Linked DNA regions of Anolis sagrei. The protein of the gene in region 1 interacts with the protein of each later gene in a pairwise test. Links are inferred from orthologs where the notes say so. Each region holds a gene or a part of one and is shown in the gene's direction. Other genes may lie near its edges. The genes, in order: GOPC, RNF183, VTN and DPYD.

Region 1 (7,602 bases):
AAGATAAACTTTAAAGCATTCTCTCCTCGGCCTTGTTGCATTCCAAGCAAAAAGGTTGGTGTTGAAGATGGGGGTGAAAGAGGAGGAGATTACTTTTGCTGGACTTTGTAGCCCCTTTCAAATAATTGCACTTAACATTTATTTTCCTAATAGAGTTAAGGATGTTCAATCAACAAAAATATTTTGAAAAATGGAAACTTGTACTAGTCCAAAAATAGTGTTGAATTAGCACAAGTCCAATACCATTTGGACTTGTAATAGTCCAACATTGGACTTGCATTAGTCCAAAAAATAACTCCACATATTTTTTTAAGTGGCATGGATAGAAAGGAGGAAATTTCCACTGGTGCATCAGGTGTATATGACGATAATCTAGTACATGTGGAGAAGGAAAGTGCCAGTTCCTCAGTAATTCAATATTATGTTCCCAGTAATGAGGAAATCTGATTTCCTCACAGCAGGTGCACTAGGTGGCTTTGTTGGTAATCCAGTGAAGTATTGCCCTGGATAAACCAAAGCTGACATCTAAGCTGTCTCAAGGGGACAGTGCATAGTTCCGTTAACTTTTCAAAACATATCACAGTGTACTTCATTTTATCATCTGTTATTTGGCTTATAACCCACCTTTCCACCAACACTGGTAATCAAGGTGGCTGAAATAATAAAATACTCATCTAAATTAAAGCAAATTCAGCAATAAAAACACAGCAATAACAATAAATGATAATTTAGTTGGTTAGCGGTCCCTACAGCCAATAAATAACTGAAATGCCAAAGGGCTTTCTTTCTACCAACAGAAGGACAAAGAAAAGAGAGAGAGCATGCCGCTTTCAACAAGGAATGGCCATTGTGAGATGACCTACTCTTCCCCAACAACTGCCCCTCTCATGGCTCATAGACAATGGGCACATCCCACTGGAATCAAAATCTGACCAGGTTTGTATGAATGAATGCTGCCTTTCATGTAGCCTGGCCCAGATTGTTCAGGGGGTTATAGGTGAACCATACGTACATCATAACTGTGTCTGTAAATAGCAATATCTGGGGGAAAACACTTATTTTGATAAATTTCTAGAATATTTAAGTTTCCCTAGTCTAACTTTTCAAAGCTTTGGATAGCCAGTGTAGCTGACACACCAAGCGAATCACATTTGGAACTGGCCCTGATCAACAGCTTGTCCAGAAGTCTGTGGCCAAATGGAGAATTCTAAACAGGCTTCACTTAGAGAATGCTGGAGAACAGTGGTTCTCAACCCTTGGTCCTCCAGATGTTTAGGACTTCATTCTTCAGAATTCCCGATCACAAGTTATGCTAGCTGGGGCTTCTGGGAGCTGAAGTCCAAAATATATGGAGAACCACTTCTGTAGAAGACCAATAGGTACCGATCCGGTGGGAAGGTAACTGCGCTCCATGCAGTCAAGCCAGCTACGGACAACACTGGCTCTTTGGATTAGAAATGGAGATGAGCACCAACCCCCAGAGTTGGACACGACTGGATTTAATGTCAGGGGAAAACCTTTTTACCTTTACCTTAGAAGACCAAATGGAGCATGACTAATACACATGGCAGAGCAAAAAGGTGTGATTATAGTCTTCAGAGCTTTCTGGACCATTTGCGATAGGAGGTTTTCACACCATTCTTTAGATATATATTTTTTTGTCATGTCAGGAGCAACTTGAGAAACTGCAAGTCGCTGCTGATGTGAGAGAATTGGCCGTCTGCAACGACGTTGCCCAGGGGACGCCAGGATGATTTAATGTTTTTATCATCCTTGTGGGAAGCTTCTCTCATGTCCCCGCATCAGGAACTGGAGCTGATAGAGGGAGCTCATTCGCCTCTCCCCGGATTCAAACCTGCGACTTGTCGGTCTTCAGTCCTGCTGGCACAGGGGTTTAACCCACTGTGCCACCGGGGGCTCCATTCTTTAGATTAGTGCTACTGAAAATAATGGTCTATGAAGCACTGCTGACCTATGAGATATCAGCTACTGGTCTGTGGCAAGTTTCTAGGAAAGTTTGCAATGATAGAATGGCACATATGATTACAGCCCTGGGTACGTTGGGGAAATGCTGATGTATTACATCAGCTACTTTAGTTACAATTTAGACAGAATCATAGAGTTGTTACCCAAGGGCCACCCAGTCCAACCCCCTGCTTTCAGGAACACACAATCAAAGCACCCCTGACAGATGACCATCCAGCCTCTGTTTAATACCTTACGAGAAAGAAATACCACCACGCTTTGAGGCAGCACTGTGATGTGTGAAGATGTGTGTCACTCCTCTGGTCTTCCAGATCCCTTGTGACACCCATTTTGGCCACAAAATGGAGTGAATTGTTCACATGGAACCTTCCAGAAATAGCAAATCACCATTTTGACAACCAGAAAAATCAAGAGCATTTTTCATCTTCACTCTCTTAAGGTGAACTATACACCCCTGCAACTACAACCCCCAAATGTCAAGGTCTCCAAACTCCACCAGAGCATATTATGTATCTGTGCCAAGTTTGGTCCAGATCCATCATTGTTTGAGTCCACAGTGCTCTCTGGGTGTAGGTGAACTACAACTCCAAAACTCAAGGTCAATGCCCATCAAACCTTCCAATAATTTCTCTTGGTCATGGGAGTTCTGTGTGCCAAGTTTGGTTAAATTCCATCATTAGTGAAGTTCAGGATGCTCTTTGATTGTAGGTGAACTATAAATCCCAGCAACTACAACTCCCAAATACCAAAGGTCTATTTTCCCCAAACTCCACCAGTGTTCACATTTCGGCATATTGAGTAATTGTGCCAAGTTTGGTCCAGATCCATCATTGTTTGGGTTCACAGTGCTCTCTGAAAGTAGGTGAACTACAACTCCCAAACTCAAGGTCAATGCCCAACAAAACCCTTCCAGTATTTTCTCTTGGTCATGGGAGTTATGTGTGCCAAGTGAATGCTCTTTGAGTGAAGATGAACTATAAATTCCAGTAACTACAACTCCCAATAACAAAATCTACTCCCCCCCCCCCAACCCCACCACTATCCAAATTTGGGCATAATAGGTATTTGTGCCAAATTTGGTCCAGTGAATGAAAATCCATCTTGCATATCAGATATTTACAACGGGATTTTGGCCTGTATCAATAGGTATATAGTGTCTATATCAGGAGTCCTCAAACTTTTTAAGCAGAGGGCCAGGTCACAGTCTCTCAAACTGTTAAAGGGCCGGATTATAATTTGAAAAATATATATGAATGAATTCCTATGCACACTGCACATATCTTATTTGTAGTGCAAAAAACACTTAAAACAATACAATAATTAAAATGAAGAACAATTTTAACAAATATACACTCATTAGTATCTCAATGGGAAGTGTGGGTCTGCTTTTGGCTCATGAGATTGGATTGTTGTTGTGTGCTTTCATTTCAGACTTAGGTTAACCCTAAGTGAGGGCCGGGTAAATGACCTTGGAGGGCCGCATCCAGCCCCCAGGCCTTAGTTTGAGTACCCCTGGTCTAGATCCAGGGAAGCCATTCTCCCCCTCTACTCTGCTTTGCTTAGACCACATCTGGAATACTGTGTCCAATTCTGGGCACCACAATTGAAGAGAGATATTGACAAGCTGGAATATGTCCAGAGGATGGCGACTAAAATGATCAAGGGTCTGGAGAACAAGCCCTATGAGGAGCGGCTTAAAGAGCTGTGTATGTTTAGCCTGAAGAAGAGAAGGCTGAGAGGAGACATGATAAGGGCCATGTATAAGAATGTGAGAGGAAGTCATAGGGAGGGGGGAGCAAGCTTGTTTTCTGCTGCCCTGGAGACTAGGATGCGGAACAATGGCTTCAAACTACAAGGAGAGTCCCCCTGAACATGAGGAAGAACTTCCTGACTGTGAGAGCTGTTCAGCAGTGGAACTCTCTGCCCTGGAGTGTGGTGGAGGCTCCTTCTTTGGAGGCTTTTAAACAGAGGCTGGATGGCCATCTGTCAGGGGTGATTTGAATGCAATATTCCTGCTTCTTGGCAGGGGGTTGGACTGGATGGCCCACGAGGTCGCTTCCAACTCTTTGATTCTAGGATTCTATGATTCTGAATTGTCCAAGATAGATGTTAACTTAGTCATCTGTTAACTTAGGACACCCAATGAATTCCTTGAGGCTTTCAGCTCTGTGATTCTATGGTTCAATGGTTCATAACAATAGCAAAATTACAGTTACGAAATAGCAACAAAAATAATTTTATGGTTGGGGGTCACCACAACACGAGGAACTGTATTAAGGGGTCGCGGCATTAGGAAGGTTGAGAAAACCTCAGGTCCTCCTGCTGATTGGGACTTCGCTTCCCAGAAGCCCCTGTCACCACTGCCAATTGCCAGGAATCCTGGGAGTTGAAGTTCTAAACAGACAGAGGACCCAAGGTTGGTTGGAGCCGCCCCTTCAAACTGCGCAGCAGCGCCCCTTGCGGCCGCAGGGGAGGGAGGCAGGAAGGGAAGCTTCCCGACCGATCGATGATTCGGAGCTCGGCCCGTCCCACCTGGCCAGCGGGTCTCCGTTGTGGCAGGCGAGGGAATCGCTCGCTCGGGGTCTCCCGGCTGACAGGAGAGGAGCCGCCGCTCCCGCGCATGCGCCGTGGGGAGTGCGCGAGCGAGCGAGTGAGGGAGTGAGGCGCAGGGAGGCCAAGGCGGCCCGTGGGTCGGTGAGTGGGTGGGTGAGTTGGCGGAGAGGCTTGAAGCACCAGTGGGGCGCCATGTCTGGCGGGGGCTCCTGCGGGGGGGCGGGCCCCGGGGCCTGCGGTGGGGCAGCGGCCTCCTCGTCGGCTTCGTCCCCCGGGGGCGGCGGCGGGGGCGGCCTGTCGATGTTCCGGTGGCTGGAGGTGCTGGAGAAGGAGTTCGACAAGGCCTTCGTGGACGTGGACCTGCTGCTGGGCGAGATCGACCCGGACCAGGCGGACATCACCTACGAGGGCCGGCAGAAGATGACCAGCCTCAGCTCCTGCTTCGCCCAGCTCTGCCACAAGGCCCAGACCGTCTCCCAGATCAACCACAAGCTCGAGGTGAAGCTGCCTTCCCTTTTCAGTCTCTCACGCGGGGGCTTCCTCCGAGGAACCAAACGCTTGACACACGCTGCCCACCCGTCCCCCTGATGCTCCCTCCACACCCCTCTTTCATTGAAATACAAACACCAGGGTCGAACCAAGCACCTCCCCACAGATCATGTTAAGTGGCAACAGCACCCTTTAGAGCAGAGCCTTCCAAACTTTTCAGGAGATGGTACACTTTTTTTGCCAACATAATTTTGCGACACAGTAATTCAGTTTTATTCACAAACTGGAGGTTATAACAGGCATGGGCAAACTTTGGCCCTCCAAGTGTTTTGGGCTTCAACTCCCACAATTCCTAACAGCCCACCGGCTGTGGGAGTGGAAGTCCAAAACACCTGGAGGGCCAAAGTTTGCCCATGCCTGTTATAAGAGATAGTGACACATATATAGGTTGTTAATAGTGAAATCTTAGAATCATTGAGTTGGAAGAGACCTCTTGGCAGTCCAACCCCCTGCCAAGAAGCAGGAAAATTGCATTCAAAGCACCCCTGATAGATGGCCACCCAGCCTCTGTTTAAAAGCCTCCAAAGAAGGAGCCTCCACCACACTCCGGGGCAGAGAGTTCCACTGCTGAACAGCTTTCACAGTCAGGAAGTTCTTCCTCATGTTCAGGGGGAATCTCCTTTCTTGTAGTTTGAAGCCATTATTCCGTGTCCTAGTCTCCAGGGCAACAGAAAACAAGCTTGCTCACTCCTCCCTATGACTTTCCCTCACATATTTATACATGCTCCTCCTCTCAGCCTTCTCTTCTTCAGGCTAAACATGCCCAGCTTTTTAAGGCGCTCCTCATAGGTTTTGTTCTCCAGACCCTTGATCATTTTAGTTCCCCTCCTCTGGACACACTCCAACTTATCAACATCTCCCTTCAGTTGCGGTGCCCAGACTTGGACACAGTGTGATTCCAAGTGTGGTCTGACCAAGGCAGAATAGAGGGGTAGCATGACTTCCCTGGATCTAGGCACTATAGTCCCATTTATGCAGGCCAAAAACCCATTGGCTTTTTTCTCCCGCCGCATCACATTGTTGGCTCAAATGTATAGGGACACAACATATTTCATGAACATCTTTCTCTCTCTGAGATATGATTCATTGCTTATTTCACCTTGACCCAGAACTTTCTCATTACATTTGTGTGACACACCTACACACTGCGGCTGACATGCTAATAATATTTTAAAAAAAAAAACTTTATTTGTAGACCACCCTCTCTCCCCAATAGGACTCAGGGTGGTTTACACACAAGAAAGGCAAACATTCAATGCCCAAGTCAAATACAAACATTTTAAAATCAACAGATTAATACCAAAATAATAACCATAAACTTATGACAAAAGAGAAATTGACAGGAAAATAAGGACCAAATACAAATAATCGAATAAAACTAATTATAATGCTAACATAAATTAACCATTTAGACATAAATCCTAGAAAAGGCAATTAAAATGACTATCAAGGTTGTTCTTCTCATATACCATAGCAGCAGTGGAATAGGTTAGGACTGTCCTAATCCTCCTCCTCTTCATACGCCAAAGTGCACATGTGCGTTTTCAAGAGGAGAGGAGGGTGGGTGCTACTTTTAGTTCTTTTGGGAGGGAATTCCACAGATAGGGAGTGATCATGGAGAAGGCCTTCCCTCTTGTTCACACCAACTGCACTTGTGATAGGGGTTGGACTGAGAGGAGGGCTTCCTCTGCTGACCACAGTGCACGGAATGGTCTGTATGGGGAGATATGATTAGACAAATAGCCTGGACCCAAACTTGGACCTCTAACAGTTTAAAGGTCTGCTTTTTTAAAACAATATTTTAATTAAGATTTTCATAAGTAAATAAAATAGATATTTAAATGAGGGAGGGAAGTGATGTGGAATAGGATGGTGTTGGGGAAGGGGGAAAATGAAGAAAAAATGCTTCACAACCCTTCTTTCTTAATGCACAGAATTCAAAATTGACTTCTCACTCTCCAGCCCAAAGCATAATCATCTTCTCATTAAAAGGTTTTACAGGATTCCAAAATACTCCAAAGTTGTCCACATGGGTGGCTGAAAGTGTGACACCTTTGTTCCCTGTGTTTTATACACAAAATTATTTTAAAATATCTTGTATAAATATCCTTATATAAAAAAATCCATCCAAGACACTTCTGTCCCCAAGCATTTTGGATAAGGGACAAATGGGTATTGGGTTTTGTCTTGGGTCATATTATCAAGGTGTCTCATCATGTATGTATGTGCATATGCATATACATATGCAGGTATTCCAAAATCCAAAAAACAAAAAACAAAAACCACTTCTGGTCCCAAGCAGAAGTACCATCTAGCATAGAGTCTCAACTTCTGCCTGTTGAGTAAAGCAGGTAAAGCTTAATCCCCAAAGCCCACAAATATCATTATATTTTCCTTCTTCTTTATGAAAATTGTCTCATGTTTTTAGACATTAAAGATGATTAGAGGTGAATGAAGTTCAAGGGGAAGGAATAAGCAGAGAATAGCTGCCCGAGTTCAGTTCCGGGATGAGAG
Region 2 (5,498 bases), on another chromosome or scaffold:
TTCAAGTTAGAAGCTAGGCCTGAATGGTATGGTTCATGTTTCAAGCCTTGGTCTTAGATTTAAGTATCCTGGGAGTTTTCCCAGGGGATTGCTTCTTGCCCTCCTTTAGAGAACTGGAACTCTCAAGGATGTTTTGTATTCCAGTTTGTTTTGTATTCCAGTTTAGGTTTTGCTAAACATATCTTCTGCTTGTGGACTTAAGCTGCCTTTGCATTTTTGAAACTATTTTTTTACCCTTGGTTTTATAAGAGAGAATTGTATTGTTTGGTTATCACCTAGAATCATAGAATCAAAGAGCTGGAAGAGACCTCATGGGCCATCCAGTCTAACCCCATTCTGCCAAGAAGCAGGAATATTGCATTCAAATCACCCCTGACAGATGGCCATCCAGCCTCTGTTTAAAAGCTTCCAAAGAAGGAGCCTCCACCACACTCCGGGGCAGAGAGTTCCACTGCTGAACGGCTCTCACAGTCAGGAAGTTCTTCCTCATGTTCAGATGGCATCTCCTCTCTTGTAGTTTGAAGCCATTGTTCTGCGTCCTAGTCTGCAAGGAAGCAGAAAACAAGCTTGCTCCCTCCTCCCTGTGGCTTCCTCTCACATATTTATACATGGCTATCACAACCTAGTGCTGACCCTTTTGGATTGCATACCTTACTTTCTTATACCTGATTTTTCTATATACCTTCTATGTATTTTTTAAACAATAAACTGTTTGTTTATTAAAAAAAAAGAAGAAGAAGAAGCAATCCCCTGGGGAAAAGATGCAACGTCCATGTTTCTTTCACTAAGATCTATAGCCCCCAGGTGCGACGGCACAAAGGTAACGGTGCTCTATGCAGTCATGCAGGCCACATAACCTTGGAGGTGTCTCTGGACAACGCCGGCTCTTCAGCTTAGAAATGGAGATGAGCACCAGAGTCCCAGAGTCAGACACGACTAAACGTATGTCAAGGGGAAAGCTTTACTTGACCTCTTACCACGTTGCTTTCTGCCAAGAAGCTACAGAAGTGCGTCCAAGTATTGGGCCGGCCTGACCCTGGTTAGCTTTCGAAATCAGATAACAGACCAGTGACTTTCCTAGCAATGATTATAATCATAAAAGCTGGGAAGGATTGGCTTCACCTGGTTGCCTTTGCTTCCTTGGGCGGCAGTAAATACCCAGCTCGCAAAGGAGAGAGAACTCTGCGCCTCGAGCGAGGGACAAAGTCTCCTGAGAACGACCCTGGGAGAGCAAACGCTCTCACGTTCGGCTGTATTGCACACACTCCGAGTCGTCTCCTCCACACCTGATGCAGGTAGGATGAAGCTCTGACACTCTGTCTCTTTCAGGGTGGGTTGTAAAGCTGGAAAAGTGTGACGGCGTTTAGCCATATAATCCTTTTCCCCCCCCAAAACTTGGAGAGACCCACATACCATATTTACTTGAATCTAATACTCACCTTTAGTAAAAATAAAGGTTTCCCCTTGGCATTAAGTCTAGTTGTGCCTGACTTTGGGGAATGGTGCTCATCTCCATTTCTAAGCCAAAGAGCTGCCGTTGTCCATAGACACCTCCAAGGTCATGTGCCCTGCATGACTGCATGGAACGTCATTGCCTTCCCATGGAAGCAGTACCTATTGATCTCACATTTGCATGTTTTCAAACTGCTAAGTTGGCAGAAGCTAGGGTTAACAGTGGGAGCTCATCTTGCTCCTTAGATTTGAACCACCAACCTTTTGGTCAGCAAGTTCAGCAGCTCAGCGGTTTAATCCGCTGCACCACCAGGGAGCCCAATTACCTGGGATAAATTACATTTCCAAAATTAGGGTGCAGAGTAGAGTCATGTAATAACGCAATCTTAGTAAGGAGCCAAAGCAAACACACCTCGAACTTTGAAGAGAGGCGGGCAAGAAATAAAAATTACTATTATTATTATTATTTGAAACACAACAAGATGAGTTCACAGCAGACACTCTGCTGGCTGTTGTATTGGATCACACGTCAGACACTTCCCAAGTGTCTAGGACTGTGTGATGTATCAGCGAATAATGCGTGCAGATCCGAGCAGCTGACAGGTGGTAATTTTGTCAGCGGTGATTGTTTTTAAGTGCAGGCCAAGGTCTTGAGGCACTGCACCCAGTATGCCAATCACCACTGGGACCACCTTTATCACCTTTATCGTAGGATTCAACAAACACCATTTGCCACCTTGACCGCACTCTTGGCAGCCTATGTCTTGTGTATCTATGTGAAATGTCAAAGGGTGGGACTCTTGCCCCGTGATCCCATAAAACTGAGGTGTACACACAAGTTGTGTGTCACAGCCTCATTTGTCACGTCCTTGGAGGAAGTCCTTTCCTTTATTCTTTTCCAGAGGCCTGCGGTGATACCATCTCATCGTGCAGAATGAATGCAGTTTGAGAGCACTTTGACCGTCATGGCTCAATACTATGGAATAATAGGAGGCACCATCGCCCTGTTGTAAAACTACAGCTCCTAGGCACTCTTTAGCATCAAGGTACAAAACACGGCAGTCGAAGTGGCATCAAACCGCATTCATTCAACACTGTAGATCAGGCATGGGCAAACTTCGGCCCTCTGGGTGTTTTGGACTTCAACTTGCACCATTCCTAACAGCCTATCAGCTGGGGTGATACAAGTTTTCCAGGCTGTCTGGTGATGTTCCAGAAGCATTCTCTCCTGACATTTCACCCACATCTATGGCAGGCATCCTCAGAGGTTGTGAAGTCTGTTGGAAACAAGTGGGGTTGATATAGTTGTGGAATGTATGGCCATGTTCCAGCAGCATTCTCACCTGAACGTTTCCCCTGCATTTGTGGCTAATAGCATCTTCAGAGGTCTGTTGGAGGTAAGGTATAAATATTTATATAATATTTATATATACACATATTATATAAATATTTATATAATATAATATTTATACTATAAGGTATAAATATTATAATACAATACAATATAATACTACTACTAATAATAATAATACAATATTATATATATATATATATATATATATATATATATATATATAACATGTAATATTACTAATAATATTACAATATAATGGTATAGTACAATATAGTATTTTATAATACTGATATTCTACTTTGTAATAATATAATATATTGTATGTATATATATCTTGTAAGTTGCTCCGAGTCCCCCTCGGGGTGAGAAGGGCAGCATATAAATGTTGTAAATAGATAAATAAATAAATAAATAAGACAAGTGGAGTGTGTATGTGTATGTGTGTGTGTGTAGATAGATAGATAGATAGATAGATAGATAGATATCCCCCTGTGGAATAATGTGCAGGGTGGGAGAAAGAACTCTTGTCTATCGGAGGCCAGTGAGAATGTTACAATTGGCCACCTTGATTAGCATTAAATAGCCTAGCAGCTTCAAGGCCTGGCTGCTTCCTGCCTGGGGGCACCTTGATTAGCATTAAATAGCCTAGCAGCTTCAAGGCCTGGTTGCTTCCTGCCTGGGGGAATCCTTTGTTGAGAGGTGTTAGCTGGCCCAGACAAGAATCAATCCTTGTAGCTTCAAAGCCTGGCTGGTTGCTGCTGTGTGGAATCATTTGTTGGGAGTTATTAGCTGGCCCTCAGCTAATAACTCCCAACAAATGATTCCACATGGCAGCAACCAGACAGGCTTTGAAGCTACAAGGCTGTCAAAGGCCAATTGCAACAGTCACACTTGCCTCAAACAGGCAAGAATTCTTTCCCCCACCGTGGATATCATTCCACAGGTCGGTCTATCTATCTATCTATCTATCTATCTATCTATCTATCTATCTGAGAGTCAACTTGCCTCATTTGCAAGAGACCTCTATGCAGATGCCCTCACTTATTGACTTTGCAGCTGCAAGGGGATTCAATGCTCATCAAGGTGTCCAATTGCAACATTTCCCCCATTCTTTCTCCCACCCTGGACATTATTCCACAGATATATAAACCCCACTTGCCTAGTTTCCAACAGACCTCACAACCTCTGATGATGCCTGTTATAGATGTGGGCACATCTATGCTTCTGGAACATAGCCATAGAGCATGGAAAAGTCACAGCAACCCAGTGATTCTGGTCACGAAAGCCTTCGATAACACAAGCTGTTAGCAATTGTGAGAAGTCCAAAATACCCAGAGGACCAAAGTGTGCCCATACCTGATGTAGATGCACCTCATGTGGGTTTGTTTACTTGTCTTCTGAATCTAACCTGGTTTCTTTCCAGGCAGTGTAAAGACAGCGCCTTCTATCCAAAGCATGGCTCAGAGACAAGCCACCGGGTTGGCATCCGAGTGCCCGATCTGCTGGAGCCCCTTCGACAACGCCTTCCGGACGCCCAAGCTCCTCCGCTGCCAACACACCTTCTGCATCGAGTGCCTGGCCCACCTGAGCCTGGTGGCGTCGGACCCACACTGCCTGCAATGCCCACTATGTCGCCACCCCACCCAGCTCTCGCCCGACCAAGTGGTCACCGCGCTGCCCACTGACGGAGCCGTCTTGCGTTGGCTTCGGCTGGAGCCCAACCAGATTATCTTAGAAGGCAGGCAGTTGTACCTGAAGGACCAACGCAAGAGCCGGTATTTCCTCCGCCAGCCGAGGGTTTACACCTTGGACCTGGGCACCGAATCCTCGGACGCCGAAAGAACCCAAACGGTGACCCCGAGCCTTCCGGAGCATCGGACATTACGGGCGTGTGCCTGCAACCCGCAGCTTCGCCTTTTCTCCTACTTGATGGCCCTCATCTTGATCGTCGTCACACTTTTTATTTTCTTTATCTACTGGAACAACCATTTCTTCACCGGTTCAGGGTGAGAATGGGAATTGTCTTGTCGTTTTACATGATGTGTCTATGAGAGTGGATCCGATCGGAATGAGGAAACTACGAGCACATCTACACTGACCACTCAAGGAGTCCTTTGTGCGGACAATGACATAGGAAATCCTATGACGAAGGATTTCACGGCCGGAATCATTGGGTTGCTATGAGTTTTCTGGGCTGTCCAGAAGCATTCTCTCCTGACATTTCACCCACATCCATAGCAGAGGTTGAGGTTCTGTTGGAAACTAGGCAAGTGAGGTTTAGATATCTGTGGGAGAAAGAACTCTTGTCTGCACGAGACAAGTGTGAATGTTGCAATTGGCCACCTTGATTAGCACTAAATAAGCTCGCAGCTTCAAAGGCTGGTTGCTTTCTGCCTTGGGGAATCCTTTGTGGGAAGGTGTCAGCTGGCTCTGATTGTTTCATGTCTGGAATTCCTCTAAAAGGAGGAAACCATGAAAATGAACAAAATCTGGCTACCGGTATTTATTTATTTTTAAAAAACTGTAAGATCAGAAGTGTAAATAAACAGCAACACTCAGAAAATCCCACAAGGGAAACAATCAGGGCCAGCTAACATCTCCCAACAAAGGATTCCTCCATGTGCTGTTCATTTACTATCCTGATTTTAATTTTTAAATACTGGTAACCAGATTTTGTTCATTTTCATGGTTT
Region 3 (7,021 bases), on another chromosome or scaffold:
GAAGGCTTTGAGAGCCCTTGGGGATCTTTGGAAAGTTTTGGCGGGGGGCTTTGAGAGTTGTTGGGACCGGAGGTTTAGCATAGCTGGTAAATCATCAGCAATTGTAAGATCTATCAACGAAAAGGTTGCAAGTTTGATCCCCGGGTTGGCGTGAGCTGCTAAATGTCACCCTACCTCATTGTTTACCTAAGCAATTTGAAAACAGCTTTAGCTGTAATTAGAGAAATTAGGTACCGCTGAAAAGCAGGGGAGGTGTTTTATGATGCCATAAAGAAAGAAGATTAGAAAATGCAGGTTTGGGGGGGGGGGTTGAGAGTTGTTGGGGATCTTTGGAAGACTTTGAATGAGTTTGGTGGGCTTTGAGAGTCTTTTGAGGCTTTTAAGGGTCTTTAGGGGTCTTTGAGGGTGTTTCATGGGTTTTAAAGAACTTTGTTTGGCTTTGGAAGGTTTTGAGGGCCTTTAAAAGGTTATGTGGGTTTAAAAGGTTATGTGGGTCTTCAAGGCTCTTTGTGGGACCAGGGCCGCCCTCCCGCAATGCTCACCTTGGTGTTCCTCTGCCGGGCTTTGATGTCGGCCTCCACGCAGAGGTAGAAGGCGGCAATGCATTGGGCCTCAGGGCGGGAGCTGTCCAGCAACGGGACCAAGCCCTGCAGGTCCCCAGCGGCCCGGCCCTGACTGTGGTCAACGCTGCACAGAAGGGTCTGGGCAAAGCGTCCGGGGTCCAGGGTGGCCACGAAGGGCTCGACCAGGGCCAGGGTCCCCGAGCGCTCCACCTCCCGCTCGATCTCCTTATTGGCGGCCAGAACGGCCACAGCTAGGCAGGCCTGGAACTGGACCCAGGGGTCCTCCTTGGCGAAGGCCAGCGGGAAGAGCCACTCGGGGGCCCGCTTCTCGGCCATCAACCGCTGACTGTGCTGCCCGCCGTAGATGGCGCAGTTGGCCAGGGCAGCCGCGCAGTGGCGCAAGACAGCCGGGTCACTCCAACGGCACCAGAAGAGGATGGCGTCCAGCGCCCCGTCCGCAATCAGCCGTAGGGAGGTCTCCTCGGAGTGCTTGAACATATGCGCCAGGATGCCCGCCGTGAAGGGCGCCAAAGCCGCATTCTCCCGCTCTTTGGCCAGGTTCAGGATCACCCCCAGGCCGATGCGGGCCACCCGATCCCTGCAAAAGAAGCGAGTCAGAGAGTCACATTTCCCCCTACTCTGCGGCAAAGAAGGCCAATGCAATCCCAGTCAACATGAGTCATAGCAAAGCCAAACGCTTTTGGACTCTGGGAGCCCAAGATGTTGACATCAATTTGGCAATCACCAATGCTGCTGGCTCTTCATGCCATCCTGCCAAGGCTCCAAACGGTCCCTTTTCTTTTCACAAGCACTTTTCCCCATGCTCTTGGGAGACATAGAGCACCCAAGGGAACAATAGGAGTGCCGGGGCCTCTTGGCACAGCTTTGGCGACGATCACGAAATGCCACAAGAATGCAGGACGGATTGTTCTGGTTCCTTGAACAAGAACAAAGGCGGGGACGATGGGCTCTGTGGTTTCGCAGGAGCAGAGCTATTTCCTTGTGCCAGGAAGCCCTGCCAACGGGGTCAATCGGCGCCCTTTTGGCTCCAGCTAATGTATTTTCCCAATTATCCTCCCTAAAAGCCGCTGTCCGGACGAGGGCGAGGCAGTCGCTTCGCTCTCCAAGCGTTCCTCAACACAAACCCATTTCCAAATAGATGAGCCACAGAAGCGGATGCCAACTCTGCCCTTTTGCATTGTTCCGTCTGGTTCAGGGAAGGGCAGAGGGAGAAAGTAACTTTTAGAACAGGCATGGGCCAACTTTGGCCCTCCAGGTGTTTTGGACTTCAACTCACACAATTCCTAACAGCCGACAAAAAAAGAGACGGAAGTGTGATGCTGCAGCAGAAAAGACCAATGTGATTCTGCTGTTGAAAGTGATATCTACAAGAAGAGATAAATGCATTCATGAGCTGGAATTGTGATGCTGCAGCAGAAAAGGCCAATACGATCCTGGCAGTTAAAAGAAACACAAACAGAAAAGAGCTGGAGGTGTGATTTTGCAGCAGAAAAGACCAATGCGATCCTGGAAGTTAAAGGAAATAGAAACGGAAAACAGCCGGAAATCTGATGCTGCAGCAGAAAAGTCCAATGTGGTTGTGCTGTTGAAAGTGGTACCTAAAAGAAGAGGCAAGTGTATTCATGAGCCAGAAGTGTGATGCTGCAGCAGAAAAAAAAACCAATGCGATTGTGCCATTGAAAGTGGGGTCAAACAGGAAAGACAAATGTATTCATGGGCTGGAAGTGTGATGCCACAGCAGAAAAGGCCAATGTGATTGTGTCATTGAAAGTGGCACCTAAAAAAAGAGGCTAGTGCATTCATGAGCCAGAAGTGTGATGCTGCAGCAGAAAAAGCCAATGTGATTGTGCCGTTAAGAGTGGCATCTAGAAGAGGCAATAAATGCATTCATGAGCCAGAAGTGTGATGCTGCAGCAGAAAAGACCAATGCAATTGTGGCAGTTAAAAGTGGGATCAAACAGAAAAGACAAATGCATTCATGAGCCAGAAGTATGATGCTGCAGCAGAACAGACCAATGTGATTGTGCTGTTAAGAGTGGCACCTAGAAGAAGTGATAAATGTCAGGATAATTGCAAATATTATATGTATGTTTTTCAATGTGTTAATAATGTAATTCAAGATGGTTTCAGTCATGTTCATTCATGAGCCAGAAATGTGATGCTGCAGCAGAGGCCAATGCGATCATACCATAGAAAGTGGCACCTAAAAGAAGTGACAAGGGCATTCATGAGCCAGAAGTGTGACGCTGCAGCAGACAAGGCCAATGCGATTGTGGCAGTCAAAAGTAGGGTCAAACAGAAAAGACAAATGCATGCATGAGCCAGAAGTCTGATGCTGCAGCAGAAAAAGCCAATGCGATCATACCATAGAAAGTGGTACCTAAAAGAAGTGACAAGGGAATTCATGAGCCAGAAGTGTGATGCTGCAGCAGACAAGGCCAATGCGATTGTGGCAGTCAAACATAGATGCCATTCTTAACGGCACAATCACATTGGTCTTTTCTGCTGCAGCATCACACTTCTGGCTCACGAAAAGAGAAGACAAATGCATGCATGAGCCAGAAGTGTGATGCTGCAGCAGACAAGGCCAAGGCAATGCCGGGGATAGAAATCCAAGTCCTGTTTGTGCCTTGCTCACCTGTTTTCGGCCACCAGGATCTGCTCGAGGAGCCTCCCGGCCTGGCACTGGGTCTGCAGGTTGGGGGACTGGAGGAGGGTGAGGAGCAGGTCCAGGCCTCCCTCCAGCCGGACGGCGTGGCAGAGCCCTCTGGCCACTTCCCGGCCCAGGGCGGGCATCAGCCAAGCCTCCTCCACCAGGGCCAGGATCTCAGCCAAGGCCAATTGCAGGTCCTCTGGCCCGGCGGCCCGCTTGGCTGTGGAGACGGCCTGGTGCAGCTCGGGCAGTGCCCGGTCCAGGGCGGCTTGGATGTCGGCGGCCAAGCCCGGAGAGGAGGCCTCCGGACAGGGCCCGAGACCCTCTGCCCACCAGCCTTCGGGGCGGTTTTCAGGGCCAGACATGGCGAGGCGGCAGAGCTTGTAGGCCGAGAGCAGGAGAGTCAGCCCCATGGACTCAGAAGGATGGAGAGCCGCCGGGGATGCTGCGGGAGGACAAAGCGGGTACCACGGCCTGCCTCTCCTGCATCCCTGCCCGGGTGGTGATGTCACTCAACGATGGGACACGCCCCCTTGGAGGCGGGCTTGTCTCCATGGCAACTGCATCCTCCTCCTAGACAAAGAGTCCTGGGATGATTTGGGGAAGGGTTTTTTGTCTATTTTGCAATTTTGGGGGAGACCTAAATTGCAAAATATATCAGAAATTCACTACTGGCTGACAATTTTCTGTATTCTGTTCCTTTCGCTGCAATTTGAACCCAGGTCCCGCTATAGAGTCGCCCCGGCGGGACCCAGAGATCTCCAGAGCGGATCCGTTAATCCGATCAGAAGGAATCGAGACACAGAGTGATCCCAAGCTTCCAGCGGCCGGAAGGACGGCGCCTTGGACCCCCTTCGGACAGGTCAGTTTGGATCCCCTTTAGGTACCCCGCAAATGTCGACCGCCTCACTTTGTGCTTTGACCTCTTGCCAAATAACACATGGATGATGGGAGTTGGAGTAGTAGGGTGGATTATGGGAGTTGGGGTAGTAGGGTGTATGATGGGAGTTGGAGTAGTGGGGTGTATGATGGGAGTTGGAGTAGTAGGGTGTATGATGGGAGTTGGAGTAGTAGGGTGTATGATGGGAGTTGGAGTAGTAGGGTGGATGATGAGAGTTGGAGTGGTAGGGTGTATGATGGGAGTTGGAGTGGTAGGGTGTATAATGGGAGTTGGAGTGGTAGGGAGTATGATGGGAGTTGGAGTAGTAGGGTGGATGATGTGAGTTGGAGTAGTAGGGTGGATGTTGGGAGTTGGAGTAGTAGGGTGGATTATGGGAGTTGGAGTGGTAGGGCTTCCACGAGGGATTGGGCTCATTGAGTACTCCTGCCATATTTCTACTATTTTGTTGTTTATTTATTTATTACGGCCGAAATAAAACAAAAATACGAAAAAGAGCTGCGTTTCGAATCCAAGTCAACAGATGAAGCGGAGATTTTCCCAGACTGAGCCTTTAATTGGATTAGAGGCCAGGCCTTGGGCTAATTGGGGAATCAGGACTAAATCCCCGCCTTCGTGTTCCCTTTGCCGACGCTCGCTTGGAAAAGTAGTAATTCGTGCCGAATAAAAACAGTTTGATGGTTGTAGATGATGGGATTTGTAGTCCAAGGACATAGTGGATGACTGGGTTTGTAGTCCCAAAGCATAGTGGATGGTGGGGTTTGTAGTCCAAAAGACACAGTGGATGGTGGGAGTTGTAGTCCAAAGACACAGTGGGTGGTGGGATTTGTAGTTCAAAAGACACAGTGGATTGTAGGAGCTCTATTCCAAAGACATGTTGGGATTTGTAGTTCATAGACACAGTGGGTTGTGGGATTTGTAGTCCAAAGACATTTGGATTTGTAGTACAAAGTAGATTGTGGGATTTGTAGTCCAAAAGACACAGCGGATTGTGGGAGTTGTAGTCCAAAGACAAAGTAGATTGTTGGATGTGTAGTCCAAAAGACACAGTGGATTGTGAGAGTTGTATTCCAAAGACAATTTGAGATTTGTAGTACAAAGACACTGGATTGTGGGATTTGCAGTCCAAAGAAACAGTGGGTCTTGGGATTTGTAGTACAAAGACACAGTGGATTGTGGGATTTTTAGTCCAAAAACATTTTGGGATTTGTAGTACAAAGATACAGTGGATTTTGGGTTTTGTAGTTGAAAGACATTTTGGGTTTTGTAGTCCAAAAACAAAGTGGATGATGGGGTCTGTCATCCAAAAACATGGTGGGGTTTGTAGAATAAAGACACAGTGGATGGTGGGATTTGTAGTTCAAAGACAGAGTGGGTGGTGGTGTTAGTAATCTAAAGACCCAATGGATGGTGGGATTTGAAGTCCAAAGACACATGGGTGGTGGGATTTGTAGTCCAAAGAAACTGTGGATGGTGGGATTGGTAGTCCAAACAAATTTTGGTTTATGGGAGATCCCTTGGGTGGATTGCAAATGAATTGTGAGCCAGGTTTGTGATGCAGCAGCGGAACAGTCGAAGGCGATCCCAGGTCCCAAACTAGAAGGAAAGAGGGGAAAGCAAGATGTTTGAAAGGAAAATTGGGATTCCTCTTGAGCGTGGGCTGCCAAATCCTGCCCAATCTGCCTTTTTGACCCTTTCCTCCCAGAAATGGGAGGCCATATTAATGAATAACTCGATCCCATTGATCCGGGGGCAAATTCCATCCAGCATTTGCCCCAAAATTGCCGTTTCCCCCTCAGCCCTAAGGTGAAGGGGGGCTTCTGGGAATGCAGCCCCCCCCCCTCTGTTTGCTTTCCTTCCTCCCCAAAGAAAGCTGGCCTGAAACAAACTCATCCCGGGTTCAAATCCTGGCCTTTCCTTTTAGGAAAGAAGCAGGTCAGTCAGTTCCAATAGGTTGAACATTCAGAGGAAAGGCTGGGAGGAGAAGAGAGTCAAGAGACGGCTCATTCCTACATACAAGAGCTCTCTTTCTTTCCTTCTGTCCTTCTTTCCTTCATTCCTTACTTCTCTGCCTTTCTTTTTCCTTTCTTTCTTTCCTTTCATCCTTCTTTCCCCTTTTGATTTTCCTGATTCCTTCCTTCCTTTCCTTCCACCCTTCCTTCATTTTTTCGTTTTCATTTTTCCTTCTTTCCTTCCTTCCTTTCTTTCGTTCCATTCTTCCTCCTCCTTTTTCATTTTCATTCTTCTTTCCTTCTTCTTCTTTCCTTCCACCCTTCCTCCCTATTTTGCTTTCATTTTTCCTTCCTTCCTTCCTTCCTTCCTTCCTTCCTTCCTTTCCTTCCATTCTTCCTCCTCCTCCTTTTCCTTTTCCTTCCTTTCCTTCCAGTCTTCCTCCTCCTTTTTCTTTTCCTTCCTTCCTCTTCTTTCCTTCCTTTCCTTCCATCCTTCCTCCCTTTTTTGTTTTCATTTTTCCTCCTTTCCTTTCCTTTCCTTTCCTTTCCTTCCCTTCCTTCCTTCCTTCCTTCCTTCCTTCCTTCCTTCCTTCCTTCCTTCCTTCCATTTTTTCCTCCTCCTCCTTCATTTTCATTCTTCCTTTCCCTGCCTTCCTTCCCTTCCCTTCCCTTCCTTCCTTCGTCTCTTTTTTGTTTTCATTTTTCCTTCCTTCCTTCCTTCCTTCCTTCCTTCCTTCCATTTTTCCTCCTCCTTCTTCATTTTCATTCATTCTTTCCTTTCCTTTCCTTCCATCCTTCCTCTCTTTTTTGTTTTCATTCTTCCTTCCTTCCTTCCTTCCTTCCATTTTTCCTCCTCCTTTTTCATTTCCATTCTTCCTTCCTCCTCCCTCCTTCCTTCCTTCCTTCCTTCCTTCCTTCCTCCCTCCCTCCCTCC
Region 4 (7,028 bases), on another chromosome or scaffold:
CTGATTCTTGCAGCCCAAGAACAAGCAATTAGAACAAATGCCATCAAAGTCATAACTGAAAAGTCCACAACAGATTCCAAGTGTAGACTCTGCAAGGAAGCAGATGAAACGATGGATCACATACTCAGTTGCTGCAAGAAGATCACACAGATGGACTATAAGCAGAGGCATAATGCTGTTGCTCAGATGATCCAAGGGAACTTGTACCACAAATACCATCTGCCTGCAACAAAGAACTGGGAAGATCGCAAGCCTGAAAAAGTTACAGAAAATGAACACATAAAACTACTCTGGGACTTCCAAATTTAGACTGACAAAGTTTTGGAGCACAATACTCTTGATCCTATGAGCATGGAAAAAAAACAAAGTATGGATCATCGATGTTGCAATCCCAGGTGGCGGCAGAATTAACAAGAAGCTGCTGGAAAAGCTTATACAATATGAGGATTTAAAGATTGAACTACTAAGAATGGCACAAGCCAGGAAAAATGATCCCAGTGGTCCCAAGCTGACATTTATCCACCTTTCTTCCCAAGAGATTTGTACGGTTTTTCAGAGGCAACGCTGATGGAATCGTTCCAGGAGTTGAGTATGACGTCCACATTTCACAGGTGTATAGCACGGTTGGGAGGACAATAGCTTTATAAACAAGCACCTTGGTTTCCCTACGGATGTCCATAGGGAGATACATCAGAGTCCTAGACACTTGGAAAGTGTCCAATGTGTGATCAAATACAAAAACCAGCATAATGATCTTGTTTGCCGTGTACTAATCTTGTTGTTATTATTATTTTAGTCCCCTCTATGGATCTAAGTCCCTTTGTTTTCAGGAAGATAAACTATATTATCTGTCAAATGGTTTGCTTGTAACATTGCCATTTTGAGCATATAGGTTGAGCATCCCTAATCCAGAATCCCAATATCCAAAATACTCCTCAATCCAAAATTGTCCACAAGTGGTTGAAATGGCGACATCATGGTAGTCCCTTGCCTGCATCCTATTGTGTAGTCCCAAATACAGCAGGCCCATTGAATCAATTGTTGGATTATAAGTCAACATATCTTTAAATCCCATTGATCCAATGGGGCATTTTTAGTTGCTACTAAGATTAGGTTTGAGCTAGAATGGAAAACAGAGTGATGAGTTAGTGGTGCATGAATGGAAGAGCAACTTAGGATCCACACTGGTGAATGTGTGAGGCAGACATTAGACATGCAATGTAATGAACAGTCTTAAAATTGATTTAGAGTGGCCTAGTCTTAATAATGATCATAGGTTTTTGATTGTTTATTTTATTTGATTAAGCATATTTATGATTTTGTGAATTAATTAATTAATTAAACAAATAAGTCATCAGAATTATCATGAGTAAGGTGACAAGGCTGGGAAAGACAAAAGCAGTAGAGAGAGAAAAAGGTAAACGACATGGCAATGGTTTGGCTCAAACAATAAAGCCATTGCCCTTGAGTTTGCCTGGCTCTTGATAACATGGCCTTTCAGAGGTCTCTCATTTATAGGGTCACTATAAGTCAAAGCTGACTTGGAGGCACATAACACCAGCCACGTCTTAATAAACCTTACTTGGCATTAAAACTCACCGTATGACCCTCTCTCATTTTAAACCACATTACTCATTGGCTGTGAAGGCTACTTGGAGAAAAACCCTATGTGTCATTTCCCGAGTTCCTTGGAAGAAGGATGGGACTTAATTAAGACAACACTGTATAACACGATTTTTGTTCCTGGGTTATAAACATCATTTCCTAATTGGTTTTATCATTAAAAACATGGAAAAAGTTTATTAAACTGCAAAAACTTTGTTTTTGCGGGACATCCTGCAGCACATTTTGCTATAGTTTTTCAGTGAATATCTCATATGTATAGTATATGTCTATATAATTGTAATTTTTTCTCAAATAAAGATAAAAAACAAATTTAAAAAATGACTGATAAAATGCAGGTCTATGTGTGAATCATATATATCTATATCTATGGCTGGATGGCTCTTTATCAGGGGGGCTTTGATTATGTTTTGGACTGGATGACTTTAAGGCAGTATTTCTCAACCTGGGGGTCGGGACTCTGGAAGGGTTGCGAGGAGGTGTCAGAAAGGTTGCCAAAGACCACCAGGAAACATAGTATTTTCTGTTGGTCATAGGCGTTTTGTGTGGGATGTTTGGCCCAATTCTGTTGTTGGTGGGGTTTAGAATGCTCTTTGATTGTAGGTGAACTGTAAATCCCAGTAACTACACCTCCCAAATGTCAAGGTCTATTTTCCCCAAACTCCATCTGTGTTCGTATTTGGGCATATTGAGTATCTGTACCAAATCTGGTCTAGATCCTTCATTGTTTGAGTGCACAGTGCTCTCTGGATGTAGGTGAACTACAGCTCCAAAACTCAAGAACAATGCCCACCAAACCCTTCTAGTGTTTTCTACCGGTCATGGCAGTCCTGTGTGCCAAGTTTGGTTCAATTCCATCGTTGGTGGAGTTCAGAATGCTCTTTAACTGTAAGTTTACCATAAATCCCAGCAACTACAACTCCAAAAATGACAAAATCAATTTTTTGAGTTAGTAGGTGTCTTGTGGCCAAATTTGGTGGCAATTTGTCCAGCGGTTTTTGAGTTATGATGTCACTCAAAATGAACAGAGCATTTATATATAGATAGATAGATTTTAAAATAATTATGTGCATGTAACAAAGAATGTGTACATTGCACCATAGAAAGCCAAGGTGCCACTATTTCAGCCACCCATGTGGCTATTTTCTGATTTCGGGGTATTTTGATAGGCCTGGCAAGGGATGCTCAACCTGTAATTACATTGATGGCTTGTTATTTAGCTTCTTCCTTCTTACTGTGTTTTTACTCCCTCATTGGGCCCTTCCACACAGCCATATAAACCAGAATATCAAGGCAGAAAATCCCACAACATCTGCTTTGAACTGGGTTATCTGAGGCCTCTTTCACACAACTGAATAAAATCCCACATTTTCAGTGTGGACTCAGATAACCTAGTTCAAAGCAGATATTGTGGGATTTTCTGCCTTGATATTTTGGGTTGACTATCTGGAAGGGCCCTGGGTCCACACTGCCATATATTCCAATTCAAACTAGATAATGTGGGATTTTATTCAGCTGTGTGGAAGGGGCCATAGGGTGCCTCTACCTACATAGTGGAATTAATGCAGTTTGACACTACTCGAACTTCCGTGTCTTAAGGCTACGGAATCCTGGGAGTTGTGGTTTTACAAGGCCTTTTCTTTCAAAGAGTGCTGATGCCCAGGTAAACTACAACTCCCAGTCTTGAGTCATGGCAGTGTAAAGCACTGTGAAACCTTACACATTGAGAAATTTCCCTATTGGTAAGCAGTCTCTTGTATCCTATGGAGTTTGATGCAGAGCAATAGAATCCCATGGAAAGAAATTGTTTTAAACTGGATCACTGTCTCTTGTATCTTATAGGCTTTGATGCAGAACAATAGGATCCCATGGAAAGCTATGGTTTTAACCTAGTGCACTGTCTCTTGTGGGTTTTTATCCCATGGAAAGAAGTGCTGACAATATAAGAGGGGCGATTCTCTACTCTTAAAGGGACAGTCACCCATGCATTCCCCTCTCAATGTGATGAGACTACAACTCCCAAGATTCAGCTTTGTGGATGCAGTATTGTTACTTGGATATTTTGCCGGTTGCTTGAGAGTCCCTGTTGCTTGAACTCCGGTTAACTGAGAGTCTACTTGATTTTTGTGCCCTCCCATCCACCTGTCTGTTGAATGCAAAGGTGGGTTATAAATTGAGAAAGGATCACAACGACGTGTTTGGGGGGAGGCATTCCTGCAATGCGCTCGAAGTCAGCGAAAGGCACTCTGCACATGCTCAGAGGCATGGCGGGTTTTCCCCTTCGAAAGGTGCGTCGCCAGCCCTGGAAGTAACACCCCCGCCTCACCGGAGCTGAGAGCCTTCCTCCAGATCTGATGCCAAGGTCCATCCAAGCCCTCCTCCTCCCCTTCCCTCCATAGCCTCCGCCCACTATGGGGGCGTTGCTGTTCCGCTCTCGTCCCCTTCCGTCCGCACAAGCCGAAGAGGTAGCTGATCCGCCATGGATAGTCTCCTTAGCCGGGATCCCGTGGATATTGAGGTACCCATTCGCCCAAGCGGGTTCCAGGGGGGCAGACACGCCTGGAGGTGGAGGCTGGCCAGCCAGCCAGAAGCAACTCTGGCCCAAGCTTTTGGGAAGCTTGTTTCTTCCTGGTTGCAACTCTGCTTTGGAGCAGTTGTGGGGGATCCAAAAGGGTGCCTCTGAGGGCGTGCAAAGTGCCTCCCTCTCCAGTCTCCTAGGCTTCCTTGTGTGTCCCCAAGTGTGTGGCTCAATGCCAACCCAAGTGCTTCTGAGGCCCCTTCAACACTACCATATAAAATCCAGATTTTATATGGAATATATGGCACTGTGGACTCAGATAACCCAATTTAAATGGGATATACGGCTGTTTGGATGGGCCCTCAGGTACCTTCTATGATGACATATAATCCAGATTATCAAACCAGGTAATCCAGATTATCTGCTTTGAACTGGATTATATGAGTCTACACTCAGATAATGTGGGATTCCCTGCCTTGATATTCTGGGATATAGGGCTGTGTGGAAGGACCCATTAGTCCACACTACCATATAATCCAGCTCAATGTGGATTTATACACCTGTGTGGAAGAGGCCATATAACCCAGAATATCAAGGCAGAAAATCCCACAATATCTGCTTTGAACTGCATTAATCTGAGTCCACAGATAATGTGGGATTTTCTGCCTTGATATTCTGGGATATAGGGCGGTGTGGAAGGGCCCTGAGGCTGCATCTACACTGCCTTATATCCCAGAATCTGATCCTGGATTATCTGCTTTGAACTGGATTATATGAGGATGGAACTACACTGGCATATAATCCTGATTATAAAGCAGATAATGCATATTATCTGTTTTGAACTGGATTATCTCAGACTACACTGGTGTATAATCCAGTTCAAATCAGATAATCTGGATTATCTGATTTGATAATCTGGATTATATGTCATCATAGAAGGCACCTGAGGGCCCTTCCAAACAACCGTATATCCCAAAATATCAAGGCAGAAAATCCCACAATATCTGCTTTGAATTGCATTATCTGAGTCCACACTCAGATAATGTGGGATTTTCTGCCTTGATATTCTGGGATATAGAGCTATGTGGAAGGGCCCTGAGGCTGCATCTACACTGCCCTATATCCCAGAATATGATCCTGGATTATCTGCTTTGAGCTGGATTATATGAGGATGGAAATACACTGGCATATAATCCATATTATCAAAGCAGATAATCCACATTATCTGCTTTGAACTGGATTATCAGAGACTACACTGCTGTATAATCCAGTTCAAAGCAGATAATCTGGATTTATCGTGCAGTATAGAAGGGGCCTGAAGCCCCTTGCACACAGCTATATAACCCAGAATATAAAGGCAAAGAATCCCACAATATCTGCTTTGAACTGGGTTATCTGAGTCCACATTCATATAATGTGGTATTTCCTGCCTTGATTTCTGGGATATAGTACTGTGTAGAAGGGCCCATTAGTCCACACTACCATATAATCCGTGGATTTTACACCTGTGTGAAAGGGGTCATATAATCCAGAATATCAAGGCAAAAAATACCTCAATATCTGCTTTGAACTGGGTTATCTGAGTCCACACTGCCATATATTCAAGTTCAAAGCTCACGATGTGGACTTTTTTCAGTTGTATGGAAGGAGGCTGTGTCTATATTGCTAAATAATCTGGGATAAAAAATGATCTGGCATATAGGGCAGTGTAGACCTGGTCCGAATGCAGTTTGATACTACTATTTGCCTTGGCCGAATGCCATGAAGTCCTGGAAGTTACAGACCCCTTCTACACAGCTGTAGAAAATCCAGATTATCTGATCTCTTCTTAGGCTGGATCTACACTGACATATAATCCGGATTATCTACTTTGAACTGGAATATGATTCTCAGTCTACAGTGCCCTTGACTGTTGTCATTCTGCAGCTCTGGGCCCTTCCACGCAACCATATAACCTGGAATATCAAGGCAGATAATCCACAATACCTGCTTTGAACTGGATTATCTGAGTCCAGACTACCATATAACCCACTTCAAAGCAGATAATGTAGATTTTATACAGCTGCCGTGGAAGGGACCTCTGAATAAGGCCTTTACTTCCAAAAATTGGTTCAGTTGAGGGCTGAGCACGAGGTATTCCTTTGAGATGATTGTGATATGGAAAGTTCTTTATGGGGTTTTTCCAAGATCCCTTCCACACAGCTGAATAAAATCCCATATTATCTGTTTTGAATGGGAAGCAGATAATGTGGGATTTTATTCAGCTGTGGACTCAGATAACCCAGTTCAAAGCAGTTATTGTGGGATTTTCTGCCTTGATATTCTGAGTGATATGGCTGTGTGGAAGGGCCCTTAGTTAATACTGCTAGATGTTTTGAGGAAGCTTCCACACAGCCCTATATTCCAGAATATCAAGGTAGAAAATCCCACAATATTTGGTTTGAACTGGGTTATCTGAGTCCACACTCCATTAATGTGGGATTTTCAGCCTTCATATTCTGGGATATAGGATGCGTGGAAGGGCCCTCTATTGCCAAATAAAATTCAGATTACTTGCTTTGAACTGGATTATATGGCAGTGTAGACTCCACCAAGTTGGATTAATTTAATGAGCCACTTTATTTGTGGAAGCAACAGGATCCCAGAGAAACATGCCCAGCTCTTTAAGCTGCTCCTCATAGGGCTTGTTCTCCAGACCCTTGATCATTTTAGTTGCCCTCCTCTGGACACATTCCAGCTTATCCTGTTCCACCTTTAAGGAACTGCAGGGGGTTGCAGCTGGAAACAGATAAACTGGAAAGACGTTCTTCCTGCTGACTACTTTCAGAGTGAACTGAACTCTGCTATATGATACTTTGGATTGGGCCCAGTGAACTTTGCAGTTCAA

Evidence for each region.
Region 2: the proteins of GOPC (region 1) and RNF183 interact in binary tests that used the Homo sapiens proteins (3 or more experiments, as listed by UniProt). The two-hybrid records come from large-scale screens. The link is inferred for Anolis sagrei from reciprocal best matches to the Homo sapiens genes GOPC and RNF183.
Region 3: the proteins of GOPC (region 1) and VTN interact in binary tests that used the Homo sapiens proteins (3 or more experiments, as listed by UniProt). The two-hybrid records come from large-scale screens. The link is inferred for Anolis sagrei from reciprocal best matches to the Homo sapiens genes GOPC and VTN.
Region 4: the proteins of GOPC (region 1) and DPYD interact in a two-hybrid assay, tested with the Homo sapiens proteins (2 studies listed by BioGRID and IntAct). The link is inferred for Anolis sagrei from reciprocal best matches to the Homo sapiens genes GOPC and DPYD.

Annotation. Positions count from the first base shown.
Region 1 is NC_090021.1:89,459,654-89,467,255, forward strand, and holds the start of GOPC (Golgi-associated PDZ and coiled-coil motif-containing protein), read left to right. Parts: upstream 1-4,731; coding exon 4,732-5,037; intron 5,038-7,602. Other genes in the region: nephrocan-like, read right to left, coding at 4,519-4,733.
Region 2 is NC_090031.1:5,857,869-5,863,366, forward strand, and holds RNF183 (E3 ubiquitin-protein ligase RNF183), read left to right. Parts: upstream 1-4,253; 5' UTR 4,254-4,261; coding exon 4,262-4,816; 3' UTR 4,817-4,973; downstream 4,974-5,498. UniProt on the Homo sapiens protein: Acts as an E3 ubiquitin ligase catalyzing the covalent attachment of ubiquitin moieties onto substrate proteins. Triggers apoptosis in response to prolonged ER stress by mediating the polyubiquitination and subsequent proteasomal degradation of BCL2L1.
Region 3 is NC_090031.1:32,100,326-32,107,346, forward strand, and holds the start of VTN (vitronectin), read left to right. Parts: upstream 1-4,016; 5' UTR 4,017-4,099; intron 4,100-7,021. Other genes in the region: NAD(+) hydrolase SARM1, read right to left, coding at 543-1,161, 3,223-3,650. UniProt on the Homo sapiens protein: Vitronectin is a cell adhesion and spreading factor found in serum and tissues. Vitronectin interact with glycosaminoglycans and proteoglycans. Is recognized by certain members of the integrin family and serves as a cell-to-substrate adhesion molecule.
Region 4 is NC_090024.1:148,570,431-148,577,458, reverse strand, and holds the start of DPYD (dihydropyrimidine dehydrogenase [NADP(+)]), read left to right. Parts: upstream 1-4,026; 5' UTR 4,027-4,102; coding exon 4,103-4,141; intron 4,142-7,028.